Linked DNA regions of Drosophila melanogaster. The protein of the gene in region 2 interacts with the protein of the main gene of each other region in a pairwise test. Each region holds a gene or a part of one and is shown on either strand. Other genes may lie near its edges.

Evidence for each region.
Region 1: the proteins of CG3740 (region 2) and CG5906 interact in a two-hybrid assay, tested with the Drosophila melanogaster proteins (one large-scale study listed by BioGRID).
Region 3: the proteins of CG3740 (region 2) and CG31522 interact in a two-hybrid assay, tested with the Drosophila melanogaster proteins (one large-scale study listed by BioGRID).

What each region holds. Positions count from the first base shown.
Region 1 is NT_037436.4:11,865,265-11,875,647, reverse strand, and holds CG5906 (uncharacterized protein), read left to right. Parts: upstream 1-4,342; 5' UTR 4,343-4,410; coding exon 4,411-5,001; 3' UTR 5,002-5,191; downstream 5,192-10,383.
Region 2 is NC_004354.4:1,667,906-1,678,248, reverse strand, and holds CG3740 (uncharacterized protein), read left to right. Parts: upstream 1-8,951; 5' UTR 8,952-9,239; coding exon 9,240-9,441; intron 9,442-9,460; exon of another isoform or gene 9,461-9,504; coding exon 9,505-9,725; 3' UTR 9,726-9,843; downstream 9,844-10,343. Other genes in the region: CG32809 (uncharacterized protein), read left to right, coding at 932-1,114, 1,184-2,368; hfw (halfway), read right to left, coding at 5,493-5,885, 5,952-6,462, 6,520-7,433, 8,312-8,329; dor (deep orange), read right to left, coding at 9,879-10,343.
Region 3 is NT_033777.3:4,458,450-4,469,210, reverse strand, and holds the start of CG31522 (uncharacterized protein), read left to right. Parts: upstream 1-6,327; 5' UTR 6,328-6,584; exon of another isoform or gene 6,585-6,591; intron 6,592-10,761. Other genes in the region: CG31523 (uncharacterized protein), read left to right, coding at 687-747, 807-997, 1,065-1,145, 1,205-1,367, 1,443-1,579, 1,639-1,917, 2,368-2,520.

The DNA.
Region 1 (10,383 bases), on a different chromosome or scaffold from region 2:
CGATGGCACTTCCTGTGCGTGACGCAGCTCCTCCACATCCCGTTCCATGAATCACCCGCCGAGTGGCAACATGTGCTTAATAGTTTAACGCTTCGTGTGCCACTTAGCTGGGCGTGAATGCCTATCCTAAGGAGGAGCGAGCAGCCAGGAGTTGCCGCACACCGCACACACACTCATCCCTCTCCACATCGACCGTGCAATCCTGCTGATAATAATGGTAAAGTACTGCAGGAGGTGGCAATGGAGGTGATGATGCAGTCTGTCTGCCGGAGAAAGCCCCATCACATCCCAGCACTCATTTTTCGTTTCTGGCGTTAGTGGATCCTTCTCAGTTACAAATCCGCGACGTTCTTTTCTGCATGCCTGCCGTTTTGCTCCGCTTACGCGACCCCAGCCAATTTCATCTTGTTCCGCGTCATGAACGGACAGACGGACAGCCAAAAGGACGGACAGCGATTCCGGCCGGAGTCCTGGTGCCCATGTCCTCTCAGCCTGACATCGCGTGTCGCATGATGTATGACATTTTTGCGCCTCATAAACAGCTGTGCTCCACCCATGGTAATAAGGTACTTACACTCGGAGAAATGCTAGATACTAGTTTCAGAAAAAAACAAAATATTTAAAGGAAAATATTTAACAAATCAATTTGTGAAGCTTTGTTCTCATGTTAACACATAATTGGAAAGAAAGAAAAACTTAATGAAAGGCTCGATTTTAGGCAATTTTTTTTTTTAGTGCTCATGCTTCGCGAACCAGGACACCTGTCATCCTCTGCTCACCTGGTTGCTCTTTTGTTTTTGTGCATCGTCCAGACAGCCTGTACAAAGTGGGCGGCTGGCTGTATTTGAATTGGGTTGGAGCTTGGGGTTGGGTACTGGGTACCGGTGACTGGTGACTGGGGTTTGGGGTTTTTGAGGGTGGTGCCGTGTTGTTTGTTTTCGCTTGCTTTAACGAAATTGGCACGACTGGCGGGTGACGACGATGCCGACGTGTTGACTGTTTGGATGTTTGGCTATTTACTCGTTTACGTTAACGGTGAGCTGACTTATTTTCCCCGGCGGTGCAGTTCAAATATGCCGGGAGTTCCTTTACCCGCAACCGCTTGACTGCACGAGTCAAGTGAATTGACCTTTGATCCTTTCGAATTTCGTTTCCGAATTCCGTTTGTTTCGCAGCTAAAAACAAATATTCAACTAGACAGATGGACATAATCAGAAATATCTCTCTTTTGCACATTAAATGTATCCCACCATTTTGTATATTGATTAAATATTTTTGGTACACATTCGTTGTGAAAAATCGCATTTTTCTGGTGAAATGCTATCTCTGACTTTTATATGTTTGCATTTTTATCGGAATCGAACAAAAAACTGCGTGTGTTTTTCACACTGGCTCAGAGAATATGTCAGCCCGAAAATAAAGAAATACATTTGTTTTTTAAGCTATTTATGCAATCCATACTTCGTATAAAAGAAGTGGATTAAGTGGCCAGCATTTTATAATATTTTGCTATCAGTAGCTATGTGACAACGATCCTGGAATAAATATGGCGCAAAATGAATGGAGAAGTTGCCTTAAACATGTAGAACACCTGTAAAAGTTCAAATTAAATGAGTGGATTTCACAATTTTTTTTTTAAACAAGTGAAGCATACACAGATGTCTGCCCTCGACGGGCAGATTTTATTTGAAGTGTACAGTAAACAGCCAAAGTTTTCCATCCACTAATTGAATAAGTTAGTTTTCCGGAACGGAACATGCGGTTATAGTTGGCTTCCTTTTGGTTCGGCGGAGTGGAATGGATTCCCGGCGGCACGAAATGCTGCACACAGAGATGGCTTAACTTTTCGACTTCCATTTATTTGCAAACACACTCATCATCATTTGGGACTGGCCGTGCCGAAAATGCCATTAAAATCACATTTCGATTTAATTTGCATAAATTGAAGTCGAGGCAGCCAGTGGAAAATGAAGCCGAATGGCCGTCTAAACATGAACTAAAGCGCCATTCAAAATCGATTCGAAATCAATTAGAGAGTGATTTCCAATATATATACATATATATGAAATTAAATGCTTAGCCACTGTGAAGTAAATCAACCAAATCGCTCGAATTTTGGTCCGGGGTCCTTTTAAATGATGGGGTCCAAGGACACTAGGCGAAGGATTATGACACTTTTTGCGGCCCGCTGGCTGCACATTCGGCCTTTGCTTTTATTGAGCGAAATGAAAAATTCAATTAAAATGCACACATGCTCGGAACCCCACAACTCGGCAGCCAAAAACCCTTAAAAACCCGGCAACATCATCCAGTAGCAGGCAAAAAAAAAAAAAAAAAAAAAGAAAAAAATATGAGAGCGGAACGAACGCTGGCTGGCAGGAAAAACGAAAGGAAAGGAAACGAGAATGTGAAAAATCAGCATAACAAAGTGGGAAAAACTATGAAAATGCATGGCCGCTTTCACTTTTGTTTTTTTTTTTTTTTTTTGGTACATTTTCCTTCTTCATTTTTTGTGTTTTTTTTTGTAGCTTTTTGCCACGCTTCAGGAGCCTGGCTACCATCCAGCTAGACGTACTCATGTGTCCATGGAGCTGGGGACAGGCGACACAATATAGCATCTCCATATCTCTCCGGTGCTCCCAAAAGTTACGGGTTACGGGTTGGAAGTGCCAGTATGTAAATAGCCGAGCGCTGCAAGCCCATTACATTTGCACAATGAATTAGACCTAGAAGGCTTTTGTACGGCAGGTCCTGCGAAGGATTCTAACCGAATCAGCGTTTATTGTTGTCGACCCCTTGCGAGTTACACATTTTGGGACTGTGATAGGAAAATTAGATATAGAATGTAGAAAGTACTCTTTGTAAAATGAATAATGAAATGAACTAATGAATATTAAATGGGATTAAAAATGTAAATGCGTTGAATTCTATTGAAAAAGGGATTTATGAAAAGCTTTTCGTTTGAAAATGAACGAAAAAATTGTTCTGCCAATTATCTATCCCAATTATTTCTCAACAAATTTACACTGACACGTTTTTGTTGATTATTTTCGATTGCGCATTAACGTTTATTATTTTAAATTCTGTTGGTTTGTGCCATTTTCTGGCATTTTCCAAAATGCGAATATTAAACGACGGCAAATAGTGCAGCGACTGGTGGGAAAACAGTAGATACATCTGTGTATCGTGGTGCTAATGAAACAAATGCCTAAACCCCACGACCTCCGGTGCTGTCAGAATCATTTGATATGGGAGGAATTTTAGAAAACCCCGAACACCCAGCAAACAAAACCCAAAAACTGCAAAAGCTGAATTTACGGTTGAATCGACAATCGGAAACGGGGAACTGAAAACGGGGCAGGCGCGTTGGTGGAACACGGTTTTATGGCGGATTTCGACGGAATATAAAAATAAAATTGGATTTTAGCGTAGATCGTAGAAGGCCGTAAATATTTTTCAATTCACTGGCCCACAAAAGCGTGTCATGGGGGGAACGAAGGGTTGGCACATATGATTTCCCCAAGGGGCGCAAAGGGGTTGCATTTGGATTCTGCGGTTGGGAATCGCGTGCAAATGATTTGGCAGTATTAACTCACCGACACCCGGGATGGCAAAAAATTGCCCGCCGGAGGCGTCAAGACCCCAAAACACTCAAACCCCTAAAGTAGGGAGGATGCTGGTGATGCGGCGGAGCAACATGTGGGCTGGGGATTATCGAGCGGAGAGAAGGCCTCATTTGAATGCCGAGCAAAGCGATTCCTTTTTTTTTTTTTTGTTGTGTGTCTTCGGTGCGTGTGGGCGGGCAACCCTTTTGGGTCCTTTCAACGGCGGTTGGCGGTCCTCTGCTCAGGCGTTAGATACAAGTTGGAGCCCGCTTTGGCTACCTCAACAAATCCTGCGAAAACTCATTTCGTGTTGCTGGCGCCAAATTGATTTCATTGCCTGTTTGTGTTTTGTTTTCGCAGCTAAATGCCAAATTCCCTTTATCCTTTTCGAATCCTTTTGTTTTGTAGAGAATAATTTCTAGTGGCGGTTTCGCCATTATCTTTAACAAATATATAAGGGCATTCCTGCGGCATTTTGATTAAAACTTTGATTGGAATTTCGAGGGTGGTTGCAGAATTCTTGCTAACGTGGCGTGAAACTCGTTTCAAATATCTTTGATAAGCATTAAGATATAAAACATTAGAAATAAATAAAGGATAATGTATTTATTAAAATGAAAACATTTATAAGACCAATTAAATATCTATTATGATTTATAGGATCTAGTTATCAGCTGCTTTGATTCCACCCAGTATGAAATTTATAAGCCGAAACACACTTCTAAATAGTTATTCGAGTTTCTTAGAGAAATGTGTCAAGATGATTAGAATAGGGGGAGGCACCACCAGGAACAGGGGATCCTAGATGGCTCTACGAGTGCTATGGAGGCGAATGACGAATGCCATGGACCGGTTTCATCAGATAGCCTTCAGCCCAAAGTATCTCCTATTTACCAACATCGGGATCTCTGTGGGCCTGAGCATGGTGGGCGATACCATGGAGCAGTCCTATGAGCGCCTCATAGGAGAGCTTCCGGATTGGAACCGAACGCGTACCATTAGGATGGGCATATCCGGGTTGACGGTGGGCCTGGTGTGCCACTATTGGTACCAACATCTGGACTACTTGTTTCCGAAGCGCACCTATAAGGTGGTTGTAGTCAAGATTTTGCTGGACCAGTTCATCTGCTCACCCTTTTACATCGCCGTATTCTTTCTCACAATGGCCATTCTGGAGGACAATACGTGGGAGGAGCTGGAGCAGGAGATTAGGGAGAAGGCCTTAGTACTGTACGCTGCTGAGTGGACCGTGTGGCCATTGGCACAGTTCATCAACTTTCTGCTGATCAAGCCGCAATACAGGGTATTCTATGACAACACCATCAGTTTGGGCTACGATATCTATACGTCTCAAGTTAAGTATCGTAAGAAGCCGGAGCCAAAAGATAATTCGTAAATGGAGAAAAATATTTGGAATATAGCTCAAATCTAATGGTCTTAATATGGTTGTCTACTGTTCTGGACTGCCACTGCAAATCATACAATAGCAGGTCCTGAAAAATGTCATTCCAATGCCTTAGATCCTGGAACTAAAATTTTGGGTGTCCTTAAATAAAATTCTTCTTTGAAGAAAATCAGCAAAGTAGAAAAATTCAAAATCTTTATTCCTTAAAGTTGCCGGCTGTGTTAGCAAATATTTTTAAAGCAAATTTCCATGTAGAACGGATTACTCCTACAGTTAAAAACATTCTTAAAAAATAAAAATAGTTGCTTTTTATTGAAAATATTCATGCTCCTTCAATACATTTTTCCAGTTATTGCTCAATTACCAGGTCGTTGGCGTTAAGATCTGAAAGTAATTTATTGTAATTGTCCAGATATTATAAAATGTTATTCTAATTGTGACGACGGCTCAACCTGACGCCATGTCTCCGGATGTCAAGCTGGTCGTCCTCCTGTTTCCCGAGGATGAAAGGTGACCGCCCGATTCGGGGAAGGATGACTCCTTGTCAAATGCAGAACGTGGGCGGAACTTTTTTTGCGGGGTGACTGCGAAGGAGCAGATTCTGGGCGGAATTCTGGGTGAATGGCATCAAGGACCAGGGAGACACTCGAGCCGTAAGTCCTCGACGTAGAATTGTGTCAAGCATACAAAATAAATAAAAACCCAGGACGGGCGGGCACGAATAAAAAAAATGCCGAAAAGAAAGGGAAATCAAGTGACAAAATTGATGTCAAGATGAGCGAGTGCCGACCGTGCCAGGATATCCACATCCAGGGGGCGCAGAAGCGGGCTTCACGGCCACCGCCAGTTGACACCACCAAGGATAGAGACTAACATCCACTCACACACACATGTCGACTAATCCAATTTAAATCTCTTAACATGATTTGCCGCTTTCTTTTCATTTTGTTGGATTTTATGCCATTATCCCTTTTGGTCTCCTCGTGTCCTTTTGGCTACCGAATTGCCAGGCGCAACGAGATGTCATTTCTCGTTCCACAGTGGATGAATTAAAGGATTTATTTGTCAGATACTCTACTGGCCGAAGAATATAAATTTAATTTAAAGTGCAAATAGCTTCTGAGCCATCATTTTTAATGAATTAAATACTTGATAAGTATTTAAGAACTTCACTACATGATTTTCACTCGCCATCGATTGTCCCATTTGGTCCACTGTGCATGCCATTCACATTCCTTCTTCCCACTGGCAAGCTGACTTCCTGTCCTCACTGTTATCTCTCCCAAGGAGGATGCGCCTTTAAGAGGCAAGGACACCGAGGACCCCAAGCACACCAAGGACTGCGGCCAAAGGGTTTATTTATTTGGTTTAGCGGCGGACTGGCTTGCCTTAGTCGCTCCATCCTCATTTTGTGATTTAATTTAAAAGCTCAGTTCCAGTCCCACCCAGCGAATTCCTTTTCAGAAGGAATTGGTGGATCCTGGGGCTCTGCGGCACGTGGCCAGCCAACTCAGTTGGGGTCCCTGATGAGTTGTGTGCGTGGTTAAAGTATCCCACAATGAGACTACGTGTTGATGAGCGAGTTTGTCAAGCCACCGACGATGGCTAACCAAAAGCAGAAACAACGAAAAAACAGGACTTCAAATTAAGCTGTTTGATGATTTTCATATCTCAATTAATTATAAAATCAACAATTATTTGAAGGTATTCAAAATATTTAAGGTGTTTTTTTTATATTTTTTTCTACCTATTCATACCCGTAAAACTCAGTTCGAATTGATTTAATGGCATGATAAAAATGTTGACACCTGCTGTAAGCAATTAGATAAGCACCCATTGAAAGCCTGTGTAAGGGATCTGATCGATATCTACTATATATGTACATATATATGGAGGATGTACATGGAGGATTCTGTGCCATTTGAGGGTCGAGCACTCTCATCCAACCACCCAGCCATCCGATTCAGGTGGGGCAGCCACGTTCAGTTAATTGGCACTCAGAGCCCTCAAACAGAAATGCCAATGATGTTTGTCTACGAAATTACCCCGACTGGAGGGCAGAGATGTACGGTTATGTTGCGTAGTCTGTATGTTGAGGTGGAGGTTCCCATACAATCCTCCGGACCACGGAGTTTGTCTACGGGTAGCCGACCATAACCTATGCCCTTGTAATGGCATTGTGTGTAAATACAGAGCAAGAAAAAAGGTTGTGAAACTTATATAACAAACTGATCTGGCACTAAGCAGATAATATAGTTGAATTCACATACACTTAGGATTCAGATAACGATTTACTCCAGCTTAGCAAACTGTTCATAGTTTCCATTTAATTTTTTTATTAAAGACACCGATTTTTTCGCAGTGCACTTCAGCTACTTGCAAACAAAATGAGTACAAGCATGAAAATAAAAGGAAGTGGAGCATTGTGTAGTCGACATGCCCAGCAGTTATAATTCCATTTGCGATCATAAAAATGCATTACGATGGTAAGCTGCCCATAACAGGCTACATAATTAACGAGATATTCACGAGAACGGTCAAGCACTAGACTCGCCCATTGTTTCGCTGAGTGTAGGAGAAAATGGTTGCAAACGGCTTTTCAAACAAAAATGCCATAACTGGCTTGAGAACACGTGGCATATGTTACGGATGGCGGGGATTCCCCACCATTTTACCCCGCACAAAAGTTGCGTCAACTTAATTAGCCATAAATTAGCCAGGATTCACGCGTTTTTAACGACTTGTTTGTTCGCCTGGGGAGCGAGACGAGGGATTGGCAATGATGGCTCTGTCCCATCATGATGGCCCTAAGTCCATCTGTCAGCCAACTTGAACGAGTTAATTTATTTATCTTGCCGCAGCAACAGCAACAGCAGCATAACCCCGTTCTAATGCCAGTTGATTTATCTAGCTGAGTTGCTCAAAACTTTCCGTCCAGGATGGGGGCATCTCGTTACTCCGTCAAAGTCCTATTGCGGACAGCATTGATAAATATGGGTGTAAACAAGCTGCTGTTCCGTTCAAGCAAAGATAAGCTGGGGAGGATCAGGGCATTAACTCGCTACAGTAAATGGATAATAAATGCAGTCATTTCATGGGGACTTGAAAAGCATTAAAAAGTAGTTTAGTATGAGAACGAAACAAGAGGGTTCTGTTCGTCATTCCCTTTTCTACAGCCGCCTATTAGCGAAACTTACTTTTTTTCACAAAAATTATTTTGCTACTTCAACAATGAATGAGACCTTCTACTTCCTCTTAATGTTACCTTTTTTTTCTGAACAAACTTTGGTTACAAATAAAATATATTTATATGCATAAGTAACCACCCACGCCATATTTTAATATCCTCCAAAATCCCTAGCGGTAAAAGTTTGAAGGAAAACTTTGAAGGCAACTATGCTCATGTGGGCGAATCCCTTTGACCCGTTTCCGTTACGTTTGCCATCGGTCAAGAGGCTTCGTGGAGGGCCATGATATTTCACAGCTGTTTGGGTAGTAAATCAACCGCATAATGGAGCCATACAAAGGCCATCCAACATCCAGGATCCAACATCCACCATCCGATGGCCAACAATCCAGCTGGGCCCCATTGGGCCTCCGGTGCTGCTGCTGTGGCAGACTAGTCGATGATTAAAAACTCTTAATTGTTGGGCTCTGGAAAATTGAATGAGCATTAAAGTGGCCAAACGAAAGTGAGGGGTGCGGGGATCATGAATCGTGGTCGGGCAACTTCATGCGAGCTTTTCAATCCGGTTTGCATATTTAACCGTAATACCTACAATCCCTGAATACCCGGATAACTTTTATGCCTGTCCTGGCAATGGAATCGCACTAAAATCGGCAACAGCGGCGCAAACAACAATTACAGAGAGCAAGGCAAAAACAACAGCAGCCCAGCACCACCACCACCACCACCACAGCAACAATCGAAATGAGAGCAACAAATTTTAACGAGCACCACAAAACCCCGAACGCGCTGCTTTTTTAAGCCGCTTTCATTTACCCGGGCCAAAAGCACCTCGAAATCCTCACCACTCCCCACTACCCTCTCCTTTGTTATTCCCGCACTCCGAGTTGTGTAATTACAAAAAAGCCGCGGGCTGAAGTTGGTAGCATAACTTGACAAATGGCACGACGGTGGATTGGAGTGAAGGAGAGCTGGGAACGGGCCGGTTAACCAGGATAATAGGATGAAGCAAATGTAAATGAAGCAGGGACCTTCCAGCTAGCGCTGGTAAGTGTGTACAAAAAATACAACGAAATAATATTAACAAAAGGAAAGAACACACAACACGAATCGCAGCACAGACGTTGACTCAAAAATCTGTTAAGGACATCTCCAACTGGGTTTTTTTTTTCTTCGCCCCCTCTGAGTCCCAAATGGAACATCGCCGCAGGTGACGTGTCCGTAGGAAACAAAAAAAAAAAAGAAAAAGAATAAAAAAAGGAACAGGATTCGCGACGCGTGACTACGGATTTATTCGTGTTGGCTGGGAAACTTCCAAACATAGTGAAAAGTTTGTCGTATCTGGATTTCCATGTGCGATACCATCGTCTATGACAAATATGTTAAGCTATCTGGATGCTGTCTGAATTCACTTATTTGAAGTACAAATTTACGTACTCCGGTCGTCCAAGGTGTTGGAATACAAATGTTTTTGGCACATACCCGTTGGCTTTACATTTGTTTAACATCTCTGTAAAAATAGTGAACATATCCATTGAGTGGTCATATCTACAATATACTTGTTAAATAGTAGTGGTATATGGACACCATAAGGCATACAACTACAGTATAATTCGCTTAGCTGCATCGATAGTTAGCTGCATCGGCAAGATATCTGCATTATTTTTCCATTTTTTTGTGTGAATAGAAAATTTGTACGAAAATTCATACGTTTGCTGCATCGCAGATAACAGCCTTTTTAACTTAAGTGCATCATATCAGCTGTTTTTTTTGCCAATTTCAATGAATATCATCAAAGTTAGCTGCGCCATCTATGAATCATTTTTGCATATCTAAAAGATGGCAAGAATGCCAACTCGTTTCAGTATCTGCGCATGTCCGTTTTTGTTTTTGCTTTGATCGTGATTTTTGTGTTTTTGTTTCTTATGACACAAAGTTATTAAAATGGGTAAAACAAAGCGTGTCGTTGGACTAACACTAAAGGAAAAGCTTCAAATAATCGAGTTAGTGACCAACAAAGTGGACAAAAAGGAAATTTGTGCCAAGTTCAAATGCGACAGATCCACAGTCAACCGCATTTTACAAAAAACAAATGAAATTCATGAAGCTGTGGCCGCGTCAGGTTTAAAAAGAAAGCGTCAAAGAAAAGGAGCGCACGACTTAGTAGAAGAAGCCTTATACATTTG
Region 2 (10,343 bases):
TACCAGTACCAACTAAGCTATCAGAGCCACTACACTAACCGCATCCAAAGCTGGGATCTAGTGTCGAGTAAGCGGTCAGCAGAAGAAGAATCAGTAGAGACACTCTAGCATATAGAAGACACTTTTCACTTTGTACTCGGTGAAGACTTCCGTGCAATCCATGAATACTACATTGCCACGGGGTGCAATTCATTTCCACTTAGAGCTTAGAGAATACAAGAACATCATCTGTCAATCACATCTGCATTTGCATCCGCATCCGCATCCACACCGTTTCATTCGCCGCGTCGCCTATGAAGTTATTGGTTAATTATACCACATACCACATACTTGTGCCTTGGATAAACGATAAACCATCGCTCACCATCATCCGTACAGCATCATCCACTGTCCACCATTGTAGAACGCTTACCTTGTTGCTTGTTGCCTGCCTGCTTGTGAATATGCATTAGCTCGATGTACTGACACACTCTATCCGGCAACCGATCATGTTCTAGTACTATACGCTTCCATATGTGTTCCCATTTCTTTGATTGATTGTTCGTTCAGTAAAGTTTTGCGAGACGCCGGCTTTATTCACTGCATGATCCGAACCTACTGCAACCAACTGCACCTATGTACAATATATTTCAACGCCTTGGCGGTCTTTTTGGTTTGGCTACACTTGTAGATACATATGTATATTGCTGGGTTATTTGCGTATTGTATCGGATTTGTATGCGTATTCAGATATTTTGCGAGAATATACATGTCCCATTTGAGTACCTACTAATTGCCGAATGTATAAATGTGACTACTTACTATATATATATATATAATTTTATATATATATATATATATATCTATATATATTATGTACTATACCTCGCCTTCGCCTCCCGGGAGCTACATTAGTGCCAGTGTTTTACCGCCTAATTGTGTGTTCTTGTAGCCAATCCCAACACCCAGGATGGGGTCGTTCGCTCTCAGCGGGGGACTCGCACCCGAAAACGCACTCGATGCTCTGCTAGATGAGCTCAAGACATTCTCCAAGCCCATCGCCCAACAACAGCAGCAGCAGCAGCAACAGCAGCAGCAACAACAGCAGCAGCACCAGCACCAGCAACTATACGAGGTAAGTGTGCTCACCAAGCGCGTCCCCCATCCCCAGCCAAACTCATGGGGTCCAAGTCTCCCTCCGCAGATTCGCCCTGAAGACTCGGCATCCGACGAAAGCGCCCAGGCCGCAGTACAAAGCACCGTCACCACGCAAATATCGCAGGCCCGTCTCTACACGGAGGCGAGCGTCAATGTGCAGCAAGCGACCACCGGCAGCATGGTCATCGCTGTCGCCTCGGGAACTGTTTCGGCCCAAGCTCAAGCCCAGCGAGGAGTGCTCACCCACCAGCAGTCGCAGTCGCAGGCACAGCTGATGGTGCACACCAACATGGGCAGCCTGCGACGCCTGCACTCCTATCCCAGTGAGTCGGATGGCGAACTGCCTGGGCCGCCACCGACTGGCCCGCGGGCCAGCGAGACCTCGTCCTCGACCAGCCTGGCCAACGGCGGCAGCAGCAGCAAGCCACCCGTGCCCGAGCGAAACGCTGAATTGATCACCAAGGTGGGCCACAAGCGCATCCCGCCACCTCCGCCGCCACGCACCAGCTCACGCAGTCCACTGGCCAGTCCAACCAGCCCGAACGTGCCACCAAACCAGGCTGCCGCAGCCACAGTCAATTTGATTCCCAATTCCAATTCAAATGCCAGCGCCAATGCCAATGCCAATGCCAATAGCAATGCCACAGGAAACAAGGGAATAGTGGGTGAGACTACGTCCGTCGTTAGCGGCGACACCTCAAGCGGGGACAACTCGAGCGGCAACGAGTCCGGCAACGATCATGTGCAGCGCCAGGTGGCCCTCGAGATGCGCCACCAGGAGCTGCTCAAGAAGCAAAAGATGCTGCAGGAGCAGTACCAGCGGTTGCAGCAGATGAGCAAGCTGCCTTCGGTGGATGTGGCCTCCTCTTCCTCCTCCTCTGCACAGGACATCGCAAGTGGCAGCAATACACTCCGGAAGCTGGGCAGCGAGACAAACATCCAGCAGAAGATAGCCGCATTGAGTCTAGCCTGTGAGACTAGTGGAGCCGCAGCTGCGGCGGCAGCGGCGGCTGCTGCTGCGGCTACCAATGGCGGCGTGGTGGCCAGTGATGCTACGAGCGGTGCGATCGGCGGTGGTGGTGGTGCTGGAGCTGCAGGGGCGGCTGGTGCGAGCGCTGCTGCTGCACACTCCAACTCGAACTCGAACTCGAATTTGAATTTGAATTTGAACTCCCAACACCAGACCGCCACAACGACCACTAAACAGCTGTACGAGACCGAGATACTTTAACACAACTGGAAATTGGCGTGGAACGAAGCTAAAATTGACATTTAATCGGAGCAGTTGAGATTTTTATATCTGAGATTGCGGACCAGACTAGTCGAGGCCCATCAACACCCATACCCATAATATGTGGGGACTACGATTCCGAATCCAAATCCAAATCCAATTCCGATATAGAAACGTTGGAGGCATTGACAAATGAGAACGAAACGAGACGATAGTAATGATTGAATATGAATGGCAAACACCTTTTCGTTTGTTAGGATGAGCACGGACTAACTCACAGCGTACTTGTATTTAATATCATCTAATTGTCGTACACAAATATGTGTTTGCACAAATCCAGCATCCGCATCCGATGTACTTTATGTGTTGTCTGTGAGAACGCAGGGCAAATTATCGGAAGCAAAACTAAACGAAAGCATACAGTATCGAATCGAAACACAAATCAAAAGACGTATAAGTAACTTGTGCACCCCCATATAAAAAACATAAAGCAAAAAACCAAAAAACGGGCAACCGTACACCCCATGCACCAGAGTAAAAATGCCCAGATGAATGTATTTATGTATGTATTCGCTTACATTGATGTACTTGTTGCATGTTGTGTTTTTGTTGTTGTTTCAACGAAGTTATAGGTCATATACATAGTTCAAGAGCAGGAGATGGGCAGGCGTTTGGCGTTGGAGAACAATAAGTTCTCCAAGACACCAGCACCATAATCCCCAGCACTATGCCACGACACAGCCATTAAATCCCAGCATCCCTACATCCATACATGTGGACTATGTGTTAAGGTCCAGCCGCACCACCCGCCCCTGAACCAAAATCCAAAGTCTAGAATCTAAAAATCAGGATGTGGGATCCAGAGGCCAGGACCTGGCCACAACACAACATATAACACTTAGAAGCAACCCATACACCATACACCGGCATAGCAAAGCAAAACGCCACACAACACACAGTCGTAGGAGCACAGGCCGATTGAAGTTTGAAGATTAACCATTATGCACATGTACAGATCTACGTATGTACTTAAATAATATGTCATAGATTTTTATTATTACCTTGGTATGGGACGTGAGACTGATAGTTCTATATATGTAGCTCATCAAGATACAATATGAAATACGATGGCGGAAGCTAAAGATATTGTACTTATTTTTGTTATAAAGATGACTAGCTAATTTTATCCCCCTTCCCCAAGAGAAGCGACAAACAGCACTCCCTCCAGCCACTGCGTAGTGGAGGCCTCAGCTCGTTATTCCCGACCGGATTGGCGGAGAGTGCTGGTGCCCATCGGACTACCGACGGTTCTATTGTTTACATGCTGCACCTATCAAATGGGTAACACATATGTCCTTAGCTATATGCATTCAACGCTACACGCTACATCGAACGGTGGTCAGTGGCTGGCCAGCCAGGCCCAGGATCCAGAGACCCCAAGGCCACGTCCACGGTTATTTTACACATGGGCCTTGCCCAGAAACGGGCTTCTCTTCCCACACGATCAGGATATCGAGTACGCTCTTGACTGCATTGCATTGTTTTTGGAGGGTCCAAATCCAAGTGTGGATTTGGATGGAACGGGGAAAGAGCACACTCGTGCACACACATAGATTTGTTAACCTTACTGCCCGGCCAGTATTAGACTTCAGTATTATAGGCTAATTTACATTTAAATAAACTTGTAACACACGACTTGAGAGTAATTTGTTGCACCTCTGCCACATTTTATATCGATTAAACACAAACATGCATTCCTTAAATTGTTCAATTTTCGAAGTCTAAATGAGGTCTGCTGAGTTCGCCACACCGATCCTGATTCATTCGGGAGCGGAGCGAACTTCACACATAGGACGAGCGCCGTAGCATAAGATCTAACACCATGCCACACGAACAGGTTGCAATGAACACTTTAGAGTATATGTAACTGCATCTGCATCTGCTATTCGCTACTCACATATGTATGTATAAATGCATAGTTCTATTAAATGTATATCCTCCAATAGCTCAAATACACCTCCTCCAGGCCACTGCTGATGCGGTGGTGCCACAAGCACAACAGTGAGCCGTATCCTTTATAGGTAGTCCCAGTTTAGATGCCCCCCATGTGCAATAGACTTGACATCAGGACTATACGCCAAAACACTTATGTATGTAACTTAGGTGCGCGCTCGAGACATTTATATACATGGCATATATACACAAAGACAGATATTTACCTAAGTTAGAAGATTTGTATTGTTTATTTAGCGCCATTCGACGAATATGTATAACATATATATTTACATGCAAAACCACGCAACGAATACACATTTAAAAGAACATATATACATGCCTACGATGATGAATACGATGAAATACGACGATAATAAATAACAACCTATGCGAAAGGCAGTGTTAAAGAGTCCCCTAATAATACCAAGTCAACATATTTAAGTATAAAGTTAAACCAGGGCACGTGGCCAAATCGAAGGCATCGTGACCCCACTTATATTCCCAAAAGGCACAATACACCGAATCACACTACACTACACACCACACACATACACACTCACACGCCTACACAGGTATTTAGCATCGCGATCACGATCACGATCTAATAACGATCTAATGGCGATCTAAAACCAAACCAAAACCCTCGCCCCACTGGGAGAAGGGAGATGCAGAGCTCAATTCAAATTGCAGCTGCATCGGAAGAGTTGGAAGTGCGTATTTTTTTCTTAATAATAATTATTCTATTTAAATCACAACAAACCACAACAATAAATATCATTCGTAAAATGAACTCCGAACACGAGTTTCTCTATTGATTTATTGCCACATGTAAGTAGGCTGACTAAGCTCACGACCCTAAGCAATGGTGCTGATCAACGTTACTCCTCCATTTTATACTTCCAGATCCACCGCACCCACTACAAATCGTCAAGTGCATGCACACTGTTCTTAAGGCTACACACCACAAAAATCGTTCACATATGTATGAATATAGAAGGCACACGGTTCCGCAGATACAGTCGGATACATATAAAGGTAGGACACGTATGAGAATACGCTCTGTCATGTGATTGTGTCACAGTCTGGCCGTCTGTTTGACCAACTGGCCATCTTACTCTCCACTCTGGCTCTACGATTCGCACAGCCAATCGCATGGCAACTTGGGCATTTTACTGGCCGGCCAGGGCAGATAGCCAGCCGTCTTGAAGACCCAATAGTCGTAGGACACCTTGGTAATAAGGGCGAGCAGCAGCAGGACCTCGGCGGCTATTAAATAGTATATGTAATCGGTCCAGTCTGGTGGGGACTGGCATAGTTTGGCCTCCTGCAGTTCGATGACTCTCTGGGGCATGTTGCGACAGCGTATCTCCATATAGTCGGGTATATCGGAGCTACGCTCCTTAAGCCAATTTTGCAGCGTCTTTGCCGAGTTGCAGTCGCACTGCAGCTTGTTGCCTGCCAGGTAAATACGACGGCCCAGGCCAGAGTCCATCAGGGCATTGTTGAGAAAGTACTCCGGAATCTATATCGTTGTAGAAAGATACAGTTTGTTTTAGGGATTGGTACATTAGTAGGTCAGAGCACTCACCTTGCTCAGCGAATTGTTTCGCATGTAGATGCGCTGAAAGGTTTCGATGAACTTGGTACCCTCGAACTCATAGATGGAGGATATCTGGTTGTTATCGGCCAAGAGACGGTTAATATTGTGGTAGGTGGGATTGGTATGGAAGTAATCGCCCAGGCTGGTTATCTTGTTGTTTGTGATATTGAGCATAAATGTGTTGTCCGGCAGTCTTTGGGGTAGCTCCACCAGGCCAAGATTGGAACAGTCTACGTGGCACTGGGGCTTCGACTGGTTGTCCTGTATGATCATAATATTCTCCAGCGTACAATTGCAGCTGCCGTAGTTCGGAATAACCGGACAATTAGTCACACACCGCTTTCTGTTCTCCAGCTGCTCCACGGACACCTTGTCCGTGGACTGAAACCAGGTGTGTGTGGCGTTATACTGACAGTAGGAGTGCTTCGGGTTCAGGAAATTAATAGATTCGGTGTATATTATCTCGTTTAGCGGAGTGCACAGCATGCGCATGTTGCCACTGAAAAGAATCGTTTGGTTAGGCCTCTTCCTTTTCTAAACATATGGCCTTACTCACCTGATATCCAGCGTAATGTTCTTGTTCTGGTTTCGGTGAGGCACCAGCGAGAGATTGTTGTTCGACATGCCGAAGAACTCCAGATGGGGCACGTCCTTCACCGCCCTCGAGTGGATCTCCGAGATGTTGTTGTTTGATATGTTTAGGCACTTAAGAGCCGAGAGCCGCGGAAAGGCGTTCACCAGTCGAGTGATATTGCCGTCCGTCACGGCAAGCGACTGCAGGGATCGGAATATTGGATTGGAGAGGTCCATGTCCTCCACAGTCATGTTGCGCACGTGCAGGTTGGTCCACTTGGATATGTTGCTGCAGCTTGAGATCATCGTCAGCTGCGATATGTTGCAGCAGTACCAGGAGTTTGGCCGCGTCGGGTGCTCCCTGCACTGGCACTGGCTGTTCCCCTGTCCTCCTCGGTTCTGGGCTTCCGACTGCGCGACTGTCGAGCCCTGGCCCTCGGAGGTTTCGGCTCGTCCGTCAAAGGTGTGGCCACACAGCTGCTCTTCTGCATAGAAGCAGTGCTTCAGATACTCGGGCTGTTCGGGAGCAGCCGGCGGAAGGGGTGCGGGCGAAGTGGTCGACGTGGTCGAGGTGGAGTGCGATGTGCTTGTGGATGTTGTGTCTGTCACAGATCCCGGATCGGACATGCTTTGCGTCTCGGCCAAACTTGATGCCGTCGTGGTTTCCCCAATGCCCACGTTATCAGTTGTTAGGATGGGAGCAGGTATTGCTGTTCCCTGCTCATCTTCCTTCAGCGGCGCATGGGGATGGGCATGGTGATGATGGCGAGCCTGTGGATGTGCGTGTGCATGTGGAGTAGACTCCTCGCCTAGTGCAGCCGGATCCGGTGTGTGTGCTATTTCTGGCCGCGCGCATGCGCCTGCTACAAGGAGCAGCAGGAGCAGGAGCCATGTGCCCTGCAACGACAACGACAATCAAAGGGCGCGTTAAAGCGAATCGAGTGGGGAAATGGGAAAAACGCCGTGTCGCACGTTGGACATACATATGCAAATATTTGCTACACCAGACGCGTTTGTTTGCAAATCGAATTAGACCGACGAGGGCTTGGCCTGGCTCGTCCTCCAATTGCCGTAATTAGGGTAAGTGAGGCACACCCTGTACGCATAAGTTGCTGGGCCTGCGGCTCTGGGAGTCGGGAGGGTCTTCGGTATCCAACTGGTTTCTAATTGTTTGCCCACTCGATTTAGCGTCTTGCGGGCCAACTGCCAACAACACTGCCATGCTAATTCGGCAATTAATTAACGAATCGTATGTGATAAAAGGGCAATAAAAAGATTAATTGTGTTAGGCAGCAATTGTGGGCGGGTCGGTGTCGGTTGGTGGCAAATTGTCGGCTTCGGCATGGAGTGGAAGTGGAAGGGGGCTATTTCCAGATCTTTGGCTGGTCAAAACAGCATAACAGTTTGGTATTACCATAGGCCAATAATAGGTTTGGTATGGAAAACATTTCCTTTTTGGCTTAAATGTTCCATAGCGTGTGAGGATACGAGGATTAACTAAAGATGGCCTCTGATTTCAAGGCAAATGCGCTTCTTTTCACAACTACAATATGAGAAATACCTATGCTGTATGAGTATAATAACTGGGTGTGGTATAAAATATAGAGCCATGGGTAGTATAACCTCACTAGCAGCACCCCTCCCTCGGAGCAATTTAGAGTGCTTTCGAGATTATAAACACAATATCAGTATCGGCATGCCCATGTCCATACCCCTACCCCTCCTGCTACAGGTACACCCATACACTAGCAGAGCTGCATGCGCATTGGACTTACGTGGGTGTACGCGAGCATGTCGCCTCCGAAATGAATTCCACTAGGTGCTCCCTGGCAGGTTTACTCCTCGACTAGGTGGCGCGGGAACGGAGCGGTCATCCACATCCGAGGAATCGCAATCATACGGAAGTGTTCACAATTTAAATGCTTTGCGCACATCCCAGTCCCAGCGGAGAGGAGCTACTTTCTGGGCGGTTCTGCAGGCTCGTTCGGTCCGCCAGGTGATCTGCCACAGATCCGTGCATGGGAAGAATCGGTCGGGTGTGATACGTAGGTGAAACACAAAAGTATCTCGACTCGAATTGATAAACTACGAACAAAACAAAATGCAAATGTTAAGTGCGCGCAGCGCAGCAGAGCACTCGCTGTTAAGTCTGATGTTAAATGCTCTGTTCGCCGCGGGCAATCGACTTATCGATACAGTGACATCGTTTGCACTGCGATTCGATAGTTGGCAAACGTAATCCGTTGAATCAATTTATATAATAAACACATATATATTTAATTTATTGTTCATCTTTAACTTAGCAACAGGACAGTAATAACCTATAGGATTAATATAAGAAATTTAATGTATGACCCATAACAGGAATGGGTTAACACATAAGGGTTAAGGCCATATATCGATATAAACGTCGATTGTGACCGCCGTTTGCGCATCTCTGAATCTGGCGCTCACAAGTTTAATCAAGTTGCTGTTTTTTAAGTCAAATATAAGCTTTTTAATAGTTCCCTTCAAGCGGATTCCGTGAAATTGTTTATGTTGTCGAGTAGCAAGTTGGAGAATTCAAGACCAACACTAAAAGGCAGGATACAAACGGAACGGGTGGCGTAATCGGAAACGTCATACTGCCGCACGGAACAAAGTCTAAACAGGAAATACTAGCATAGCGTTGCGAAATTCGGGCCAACTCCACGTAGCCTAAATATGCCCATAGATACGCGCGAGTTGATGGAGGCGATAGCCATCGTAGCGGACGAGCGCAACGTCCGCGTCGCCGTCAAGCAGTCCGGCAAGGGAGCGGCAATCTGCGCCGCCTGCTCCTTTGCGGGTGGCATGCTCCTGGGCCCCGTTGGGCTGGCGGTTGGCGGGGCCGCCGGCGGAATCGCCGCCTACAAGATGACAAGCGGTAAGCGGAGGAGAACTCCCGTACTCAGTCTCACTACATTTCCACTTCCCTCCTCCCGAACAGGCACATTCCGTCCGCTGGGCGAAGTCATCCTAAACGACCTGACGGACGCACAGCGAGAGCAGCTGGTGCAGCACGTAACCATGGCCGTGGCCGACATACATCCCACCGACGTGGTGATGCTGCTGCCGCTGATTGTCCAGAACGCCTCCATTCAGCAGGCTGTGCTTAACACTGTCATGTCATTCGTGACCAACGAGTTGCGCATGCAGATTGTGGACTGACCTGCTCTGCGGGCAAGTGGGCGATGGCCAGGTAACTGTAGAATTTGGACGGCTATCTCAGTCGAAACCTTTGTGATCAGTGTAGGTTTATTTATAATAATAAATACTTTATATGTACATAAATATTTGGGTCTGAACGACGGTGGTAGCGAACTACTCCCACTCGACATTCACCTGCTCCCAGTCGTCAACGAACGGCTGGTCGATGGTGCTGATTAGCAGCCCGCAGAATAGGCAATCCGCAGCAAGAATATCCTCGATCTCGGTTTTCAGTGCCGCCCTCTTCCGCTGCAGCTCCATCGCCTGCTGTTTGCTCAGGGCACCTGACTGCGGTTGCGCCTGCGTTTGCACCTCCGCCTCCAGTTGCTGCTTTAGAGTGCCGAGGCGCCGACATTGCTCCTTGGTGAGCAAGGGCACAACGTGCTTCTCCAGGCAATCGCTGTGGAACTTGTGGCCGCAGATGAAGATGAAAAAGGGCTTAACCAGCAGCATCATCTCGCAAATTTCGCAAGTATCCTGAGACTCAACGGTGAGGCTGTGCTGGCGCAATTGCTGCAACTCGGCGGTGACGCGATCGGTTTGCTCCGTAGTCTCGGCCATTTCACGCTGCAGCTCCTG
Region 3 (10,761 bases), on a different chromosome or scaffold from region 2:
GCTGGATTTCGTTCGATGCCCCGTCCGGCAATCAATTGATATTCATAAGACGGTGTGGCGAGAACCTGTATTATCCGCGTCGCTGTATCGCTTGAACTTTCTGAGTCCGCGATCAGATCAGAATTGGAATGGCCTGAGCCCACTGTGCTGGAATGTGGAACCTGGATTCCGCTCGGCCGGTACAAAGTGCAGTCTTTGTCCAGTTAGCGGCATCTTAATTGCTCTGGCCAGAAAATAGCAGCTCGCATTGTGCAAGTGGCCAAGTCACGCCCCTCATTACAGCTTCAACTGGGACTGTCTATAATTTCCTGATCTAAAGTGTTGATACACGGGCGAATTGTTAATTGCATGAATCTTGCTTTTAAATGTGTTTTGCCTCTAATGCATTGTCAATTACAGTGTCTGTGCTAAGCGTACTAAGATATAAGCATGCACATGAAAATTGATGCGTAGGTCTGCTGTTTGGCAATTCACGTCAATATCAATTCCAAACCCCCTGGCGGGGTCATAAGTTGGCTCTGATTTAAATACAGCTCTGTCTGGCAGTTCCCTACATTCCCATTAAAATATGTACACACTATAGTCAACAACACCTTTCCGTTCCATTGCAGCTCGGTTAACACACCAAATACAGGACCGATCCCATTACTTGCAACACAGAAACCACAAACAGAAGCGACAACAAAATGGCAATCATACTGCAAGAAGCCCAGAAGTGGTATCGGGACCTAATGGACAATAAAAGCGGTATGTCTGAAAAAGGAGTTATTCGTTGGTCATTCCCTGAGTGCGTCTTTAATTTGCAGATCCTCGCGTTAACGACTTCTTTCTGCTATCCTCGCCACTGCCCACACTTTGTATGTGCATATTCTATGCCTACTTCAGCAAATCCCTGGGGCCCAGGCTGATGGCCAAACGGAAACCGATGGAGTTGCGATCTGTTTTAGTTGTATACAACGCGATACAAACAATATTTAGCGCGTGGATCTTTTATGAGGTAAATGACTCCTGAACGACCAACTTTATCTGGCCATCAGCTTAATCCGTATTTCCCTCCATTGCAGTACTTAATGAGCGGATGGTGGGGCCACTACAGCTTAAAGTGTCAGCCCGTTGACTATAGCACCACTGGCTTGGCCATGCGGGTAAATTGGCCCAAGGCTACTCGTGCGAAAGTAAACTAAAACTCTATTCCACCGTCTAGATGGTCAACATTTGCTGGTGGTACTACATATCTAAGTTCACCGAGTTCTTCGACACACTCTTCTTCATTCTGCGAAAAAAGAACGAGCACGTCTCCACACTACACGTCATCCATCACGGCTGCATGCCGTTCTCCGTCTGGATGGGTCTGAAGTTTGCGCCAGGTACATACATATACATATAGTAATCGCGTTTATAAGGATCGAAAATTTACAGCTCGTTAATTCTCTCGTTCACAGGCGGTCATAGCACTTTCTTTGCCCTTCTCAACTCGTTTGTGCACATTGTAATGTATTTCTACTACATGATCGCCGCCATGGGTCCAAAGTACCAGAAGTACATCTGGTGGAAGAAGTACCTGACCACCTTCCAAATGGTAGTAAAAAATGTTGCCTTCGTCGGCGAGATTTCTAAAGGATCTCCTCTGACTTGCAGGTTCAATTCGTGGCCATTTTCACCCACCAGTTCCAGCTTTTGTTCCGCGAATGTGATTACCCCAAGGGCTTCATGGTCTGGATCGGATTGCACGGCGTTATGTTCCTGTTCCTGTTCTCCGACTTTTACAAAGCGAAATATCTCAACGCAGCTCGACGTCGCCGGCAGGCGGTCAAGGCCAATGGCTATGCCAACGGCTCGGCTTCGAATGGGCACAGCAAGCATCTTGGAGAGGGTGACGCCCTGATTGCAAACGGTTGCAATACTGGGGCTTGCATGGTAGGTCTTAGTGCCACCGCACACCTAATCTGGGGCTAATTGGGGGACACAAGGTCATTCATTCCCTGAGTGATAAAAGTGGAGACTGAGCACACATATTTTCCTTACATACTCAAGGCCCTGACGCCCCGACCTCACCAAGGTGAGCGTCTGGTGCGGGAGGGGCGAGCCGTCGTGGGCTGTTATATCATCATAATTTTGTTGATCAACTTAAAATTCTAACTAGCTGAGTTAGGCAAACAGCACTTGCGAACTCTCAGCATAGGCGGGGGACGTTTCAATTAGCGCTCACATGTGAAGCCGGATGCGAAGGCCCAAGCCCAGTCCCAGCCCAATCTGCCGCCCATTAGAAAAGCACATGGGCGGCATGTTCGCTGCCAGCACACGTGCCATCGTCCAGTGGAGTCTGAACCCATTGAACTCATTGAGCACTCTGTGTTTTCTTTTCAGCCGGTGATGGAGGACGAGTACGTCAAAAGCAAGGGGCAATCGAATGGTGCCTACAAGGAGGGCTTCTTCAAGGAGGGCGTGTTATCCAACAACGATGCCATCTTCAACCCGGACAGCAGTAGTTCTAGTCTGCACCAGCGCAAAGTCAAATAACTGCTGATTAGGTGTACTACGATGATATTCATTATGTTTATGTTAAGTGATTAGCGTGTAACTGAACCAGATTGAAGAACAAGACGAGCAAGAAACTTGGCAGAAGTAGCAGAAGACGATTGGCACGACAGCAGCGAAAAATTAATAGAGCTCGGTTTATGGATTGTTTTTGATAATTTATATTTTAAATACGTACAATACATAAAATCAGTTATGGCAAAAGTCAATCGGATGCGCCGAAACTTACCGAACAAACGCCACCTATGCCCACCCACCCGAACCGTCATTAACTAAAGCTAAGTAGAAAGAGAAGCGGCAGCACAAACTAAGATATAATCAAACCATTTTTACAAACATGTCCTACGGCACCAGTATGAACGTCCCGCTTGAAGCACAAATACGCCTCTGGTGCGCAGAGAAAAGTTATTTTTTGAACGATATTTATAGAGCCATAAAGCCTGTTTAAACCAGCTACAGATACCAATTATAGTGTAGCTTACCGCATACAAACACCAACAAAGACATACATACATACATACTCACTTTAGGTGTAAAATTTTGTATGAACATTTTTGATAACAAATTGAGATGTTACGGCGGCCGAACCTATGATATATGAAAGCTATACATGCTCTCTTCAGTCTGCTCTAAACTCAAAGAAGACGTTATACTATTTGTAGCTTGTTTTGTATATTGAGAGAGAACGGCATTTTGTTGCAATACTTTGTAAAGGTCTAATAGTTAAACTTATTTATACATTGTAGCTAGCTAGCCAATTGCAAAATGCAGCACGACCCAGACCTCCCCTTGGCCTTCCTGGACAATTGTGACAACTAAACGGACGACCGGACCGAAGATCACACTATAGTCAGACAAGAAAGAGTGACAAAGATCATGGAGATAAAGCTTTTATACTGTAAGTGCAAACCGGCTTAAGGACGAAGACAATCAGTTTATTAGTTGGTTGCCGACCAATGTAAATGAATCTTAACAAAAGTTTTCAACTATTTTCGCATTGCATTGAACCTCTTTTTGGTGTGGCTCATATATATTACTTTATTACTACCTATTCAATATCCGCTTGTTTCCATTTTTGGTTTGAAGTTGTTAAACGGTTTTTCAGCGCAGTGAGAAGTATTGGTGACAAATTATTTGTAAGTGTAATTCTGTCTGTTAATCCGTGCGTATGGTTTCGTTGTTAGATTATGTGGCTTAAGCTGACAAGTTCAAAAACTATAGAAAACCTAAATAAAGCTTTTTAATTTATATTAAAACTGTTCAAGAAAATATTTCAATTGTATTAACGCATATTTTGTACGTGTGTATAACTTTCATGACGGGATTGAATCCCTGGGGCCAGTGTACAGTGTAATTGTTAATAAACGAACACATTAAGTGTATTCCCACTTATAACTGATAATTAGAGGCTTTAGAGCCTCTGAGGGTGTGGCAATTGACCCATGTGGCCTATCCCCTAATGAGATTGGACATTGTTTCAGAGAAATACAAGGCATCTTGCCAGCCACGAAAATCTAGAAATAATAAAGGCTTTAAAATAATGCCTTTACTATCAGATGCCTGTTGCTTACTTAACAAAATTTCCGAGAATGGGTCAAGTGTAATATTTTATTTACAAGTCACATATTAATTTACAAATTCTACCGAATTAATATTGCATACACCAGGCCTAACACCTGATGTGCCTTTTGAACTTTTAATAAAAAAGAACTCTTGAAATAATCGCATTAGGAATTACGCTGAGCATGAATCAAATTTCACATTTCCCACTTTATACGACCAAGTAGTGAACCAAATCATAAATATTTTATGAATTACATGAATATTCCAAATAAAACTATATTATATTTATTAAACCAATAACACTATATTATAGGATATATTTAGTGTCTCCCTCCACAAGAAAAGTCCTTTGAACTACGTCGTTGCTAAGTTTTAACTTTAATTTAAGAACTCCTTGCGACGTTTATAACTTAAACCGCAACGAGAAAGGAAGTTAGCCTTGCACCTGTAGCTTATTTGCGTCTGCAGTACTATGACGTCATTTTCAGAATTAAAGGGTATATATGTAGATTCGTTGAAAAGAAAGAAATTTAAAGCGGTTATGGTAGTCCGATCTTAGCGTAAAAGATCAAGCGATTACATACCAAGACTTTGAGAAAAGTAAAAAAAAATTTGGCTGAGCCCCACTACCAAACATATGTTAAAATTAAATTGGAACCTTTTGGGCGTCTTGTTCGTCCCTTAAAAAGCATTTTTTGAAATACTTTACCTAAGCCCATAATTTGTGCTACATGTCATTAAAAACGCGTTTGCAAATGATTATTTGCTTTTCACAATTGTTTTGTCTCAAACAACAGATTAAAATGTAATACCCATTACCCGTAGAGTCAAAGGGTAGACTATAGGTAGGCAGTTTATGTTCTTTTCTGACTCGATAAAGAACATATTACTTCATCAGGACCAATAGACCGTATAAACGTCAAGATCTCTCTTGTTTTTTTTTTTACGATGATCGTTGAACGCTCGGCTGTGCAAAAGTGCAGAAACGTACCAAACAATCGAAAAAATCAAATAACAATACAGATTGCCACTGACTTAATGTACAAATGGGCCAGTACTTAATAGACGCGTACTAATTTTTGGCAAACAAATCCGCTAACAGGCGGCGACAGCTGGGCTGTACAGGCTAATATTTAAGCCCCTCTTGACCTTGTCGGCTCTCGACTCTTGCCGCATCAGCCGGACAGGGCGCGATGTTAGCCAAGTTGACATAACTTAATGCATCATAATGCACCGGCGTATTTGGAGCTGGAGCTGCGACGGAGACTATCGGCACTTCAGGCTAGTGTTAGCGTTAGATAATAATAACTATTTCCCAGCTCACTTTGGCACGCGCCCTTTGATGCGTTGTGACCAAACACTGAACCCTGACCAATTATCAATTGTATTATTACTACCAAGTATCCGAATTTCGTTTACAAGGAATGAACTTTGGAGAATTAAAAAAACTGTTGGAAAAAAACTATTAATTCAGGCAAAAGCTGCGAGTAACGACCGCTATAAAAATAAAACCCCTATTTTCTTAAATACTATCGATTTGGAACATATAATTGTAGGATAATTAGACAATAAATCTTAAGTCACCCCATATTTTGCGAAAACTCTTTCATCATGTTCCAAGCAATTCTTAATTGTTGGTCATACGGTTGGCCCAAAGTTTCGAATAAGGCCGTATATCTGTGCGTATCCATGATTATAAGCCAGATCACCTACACGGGCAGGAATCGTACGCCTCGTAATTAACATGGATGATTTAACGCTGTGAAAGGCCAGGTATCGGGGCTGTTCGGAAGTTCACTCCATGTAATATTTACTCGCTGGCAGTGTGCGATTGCTATTGCGACGGTAGCCACACTTGAACCTTGCCTGCGCCGCTGACATCAGACAAAAAAAAACAAGGTTCGGGTTCAGATTTGGGTCTTGGGTTCGGGATCTCCGGATCTGAATCGAGTCGCATCATTCCCGGTGTCCGGGAATAGCCAAGAGCCAATCAGGCCATTTGCCATCTTCGTGCACTGCACTTGACGCTCGGCGGCGGAAAGTTTTCGCACTGCACTCGGTCGGTGCTTGCCGCTGACCGTAACGTTTCCACCGCAGCCGCTGCGCTGCCAGTGGCGTTCTTCCCTGCGCTGGCGCTCGCGGTTGCGCCTGCGCCTCCGCTTCGTCGGCGTCGCGCGATCCGCGTTTAATTAGCCGCGCGGCGCGATCGCGGCTCAGTTTTCATTCAGAAGTCAAGCGCGCGCTAATCGCAGACGCAGTCACCGATCCCGTGTGCGAAAGCCGAAAGCCAAGAGCCAAAAGCTATTGCGAAAGTAATCATTTTACAAAGTTCTTTGGCAACACTTTGTGAAATAGTTCGGGCCGCGCAATTTGTGTGTTGTGGTTTTTGCAGTTTTTAGTTTTCAGATTTCGGTTGCCAGCGATTTACCAACCGAGCTGCTGCTGGCCGCCTTCCGTTGCGGATTTCGAGCTGTTTGCAAGTGGTAAGCTGTAAGTTGTTCGCACATGTGATTTTTGTTTTTCGCTCTTTTGCAACTGCGCGGCGCTTGGTCCGTTCACAATAAGCATTTTGGACGGCGCTCTCCACGCCAAAACACCTCCCCGCTCTGGCCAATCTGCCCGGCTATAAGGCGCAGATCGTCCGAGCTAATCGATTTGACTGGCCAATCGGGCTGTTCGATCCGGTGTTTCCAATGGTGTGGCAACCCTGCCATTTGGCGGTTGCACAAAATCAGCTTGCGTGGGGCATTTGATTCCCAGCGAGGATCCGATGCTGAGGACCTCTGGAGAATCCTCGACGTGTGGTCGCAGGCGGGATTCCGGCGGGATTTAGCCCTGGCCTGACTGGCAGCGCAGCGGCAGACCACGAACAGCTGGGCGGATTTGTATGCTGTTTGAGCAGCTGTTCTGGTTTCTGGACTGTTGACTCCCAATATACCGATAGGTTTTGTTTTGCTGACCCCTCGAGATAATGCATAAGAATTAGCCAGCATCGTAAAGCTTTTCACCGTTGACATTGGGTCCAAAGTAGCAGAAGCGCAATTAGTGCGCCCTTCGCGAATAATTGCCAGAGTTTTTCTTGCACTAAAAATATACAAAATGGTAATCCAAGGCAACTCGAAACAAGTGCGGAAACGATTCGCACAAAACCGGATCTGCAATGACCCGATTTTGGCCTTGGACTTGTCGCAGGGCATCCTGATCGTGGCAAAAAGTTTCCTTGAGTGTTTCCCAGTCAGGCGAGGTGGTCGAACGAAAACCGCTTCTGGGACCGACTTTCGAGGTCTTGTGACTTACTGATCGATAATGGGATAATGGTAGTGAATGGCTCCAGATCGACGATCGCTTCCGCGTTGGCTGTAATTGGACATCATAAATTGAACCGCCCAGAAGGGCTTGCTCATTGTTCTTACCCGGACTGGAGCCACTCAGGCGCTCCTCGGCGGATGCCACTAAGGTGGCAAATACTTTCAAACAGTAAGCTGGGATTTCGCTTTCCGTATTTACATATGCAAACCATTTGGGTTTTTTTCGCGCTCACCGTTCTTCAAATGCCACGCACGTAGCCGCGTTTCCAGCGAATTTACAGGCTACACGCCAATCCCCTGAGATCGCAGATCCGAGATCTGAGGCCCGACTCTCAAGAAGCCTCAAGAAGCCTCAGCCAAAACTTACCCAAACATTAAATCGCTCAACGCTCGCCGGCGTGGCCGCAGCTCTGGCTCACACCGCTTACTCTCTACTTATAAATAATTTAAACACAAAAGTTTGTTTGTCTAGAAGAGGATCTCGCTTCCACATCGAATAGCGCAATGGGGCGTGCTAACAACTGCGATTTGCGGAAGCCAAGTGTTAGGAAAAGAGCCGTAAACGTTTACATTTACGTGAAAGTATACCTTTATATGTATACTATTGTTTGCTATTATGTTTGCTATTGAATGCATTACAAACGGTTTAAATGTATTGATAAATACAAAATAGAAGGGCATACACTTTTGTCTGACTCCCATTATATATATATATATATGCATATGCATATATATGCATATATATACTTCTACCGACCATAAAAGCCACTAACCGATAGATAGGCCGCCGCTTGAATACCAAAATGTCTTGGGCAGTTTTCGAATATTTTAAACAATTACTACATTACAGTTAAGCGCCAATAACAATACCCGTACAATTCCTGGATTAAAGCAAGATTTCGTATCTTAATCTGGTAGCAATCCAGTTTGTACAATACGAACATTTTGTATATAAACTTTATAAAAAACACCTCCAAATATGTGGGATTAAAGTGACGATGACACTTCTCAAGTCCTAAAATGGCAATTAGTTAAACTTTTTTTTAACAAATTTTGCAGACAAACACATTTTGGAAAATGTCATTCAAATCTTGTTTTATAAATACAAGAATTATAACTAGAATTGCTCCCCCTTCTTCCTAGCTAATCATCATTCAACAAGAGATTTAAATCATCAAAAGATTATTCGATCACGATATACATAAATGGCTCTGATCAGACTCTCGGTTCTCATCGTCACTACGTAAACTGCCATCCACAGCGATGTTAGGGGACTTTACTTGGGATAAGCACACGTACCTACTTATAATGTCAATTGGAAGACAGCGTTTTGCAGTGACTAATGAAAACAATTAACAGAATTTCGTCCGCCTATGTCTGCGACGTGTACGGCATTAAAAATATTCCAGAAGCAACAACACTATCAGCCACATCTCCGCACTTTAGACAGAAGATACTCACAACTTGTTCATGACACTAAAACAAGTTGAGACATCACCTAGCTTGCACTTCGGTTTGCATTACCTTAGTTCTGCTTTGAGTTTCAACTTCCCCGATTTGATTCGACAAACTGGAGTAACTAGCGTAACTAGACTTACTCTACTCTAACTAGAGTTTACAACAGCAGTCTTTGAAACCCCGGGAAATTAGTTAAATAGCTTGTCAGTAAATTGACTTAATTAGTGAGCCGAAGCGCGAACAGCAAAACGAAAAGGAGCTGCAATATGCCCAATAAGACTAACATTTAGAAGAACACCACAAATTGATCGTTATAAGAAACTTCCGTTTCAGAAATATAAGTCCAATACCATGGTTAAGTATTCCTTATGGTTTTCGAGACTAGGGTACATTCCTTATAAATTCCTAATTAATTATTATACACAATACTTGTAGGGTAGACCTGAACTTGAAATGTATTTGATAGAAAGCATATCTTCGACGCTTTATTTTCTTTTTGTTTCCGGAATTCTATTATGTTTTGATAATTTCTAAGGTAGCCGAAGACAATTTAAAAATGTATCCTTCGCAATCCTCCGTATATATGTACATATGTATGTGTATTCGAACAAAGACTAGGCAGTCGAACTAGCCAAGTTCATCTGGACTTCCTTTAGCTGGGTAATAGGTATCTGATAGTCAGGAACTCGATGAAAGTGATTACTCTTGTTTTTATAAAATGCTGAAAGCATTGTTTGTTTGGCCAAATTGTGGGAAATAAATATCAGCCAATATGGTTTAATAGAAACAAGTTAGTTAACACACTTCGTGTAAATGCAATTCAAGCAAGATCAATAGAAAATGTTTAGAATGTGCTTACACCTCGTTACACTTAGCAAACAGGTTGGGAACTTAATGCTAGAATTGATTGAAATCGATTGATTTCAGGCTTTCCGTAGCTACCTTAGTAGAGTCAACAGCTTTTCACATGGTAATTATTTCCGCGTGGAATTGCAGTCGCGTTGCATGCAAATAATTCGGAATGAATTAATTAGGCGAAATTCAAGTTGTCCCGGAAGCAAACAGGCAATAGGGCGGAAAAGGCCGATCCAGCGAGTAGCATTGAGATCGGGCTTTGCCTTGACATGGCGAAAATATGAGTGATCAGACCTGCCCAAATTACTGACTAATATGTCCAAAACAAAAGGCAATTGTACTCGGATACGACGCATTTGCGCTGCTCGTTTTAATGAACATTTTTCGCGCCAGCGCGGTTACTTTACTCGCAATAAATCTGTCAACAAAGCACTGACTTCTCACTCGAGGATTTTGACATTGAAGATGAAGACGCCGACGCCAAAGGCGATGGCGTTGAAGACCCCGCCAAGCGGCGCCGATTGAGCTGTCGAGCAGCTCCGAAATGGTGCCCCCTCCCCATACCGCCACTCCCAGTTCCGACCATTGTCTTGGCCGAGGGCCAGCTCCATTCCGGCCAATCTCGAGAGCCTGTAATCGCTCATTTGCGGTTTATGCGCCGCGAGATGAGCACACGCACATGTGGAAGTGTGGAAGTGGCTATATGGGCCGAAACTAGTGTGAGTTTCAACAGAGATTAGTGGCTATTAGCAGAGTTACCTTGGAGTGGACAAGCTGGGAAATGTGCCCCAGAGGAGGCCTTGAGCTCGCGCCGGCTTAGTCGCGTTTTATGGGACATCGGAAGAGGGTATTAGGTTCTTTTCGACAGCCGATTGGTGGTTGGTCTTACAGGTGTCATGGGGTGATTCCCGCCCAGTAATGCCGATAATAGCACTCGGTAATTAGCTGCGGAATGCTACTATGGAATTACGAAGTTAGATGCGATCCCAAGAGGAGGCCTTCAGGTAGCGAATGTTAAGCCGTTTTATTGCCAATAAAG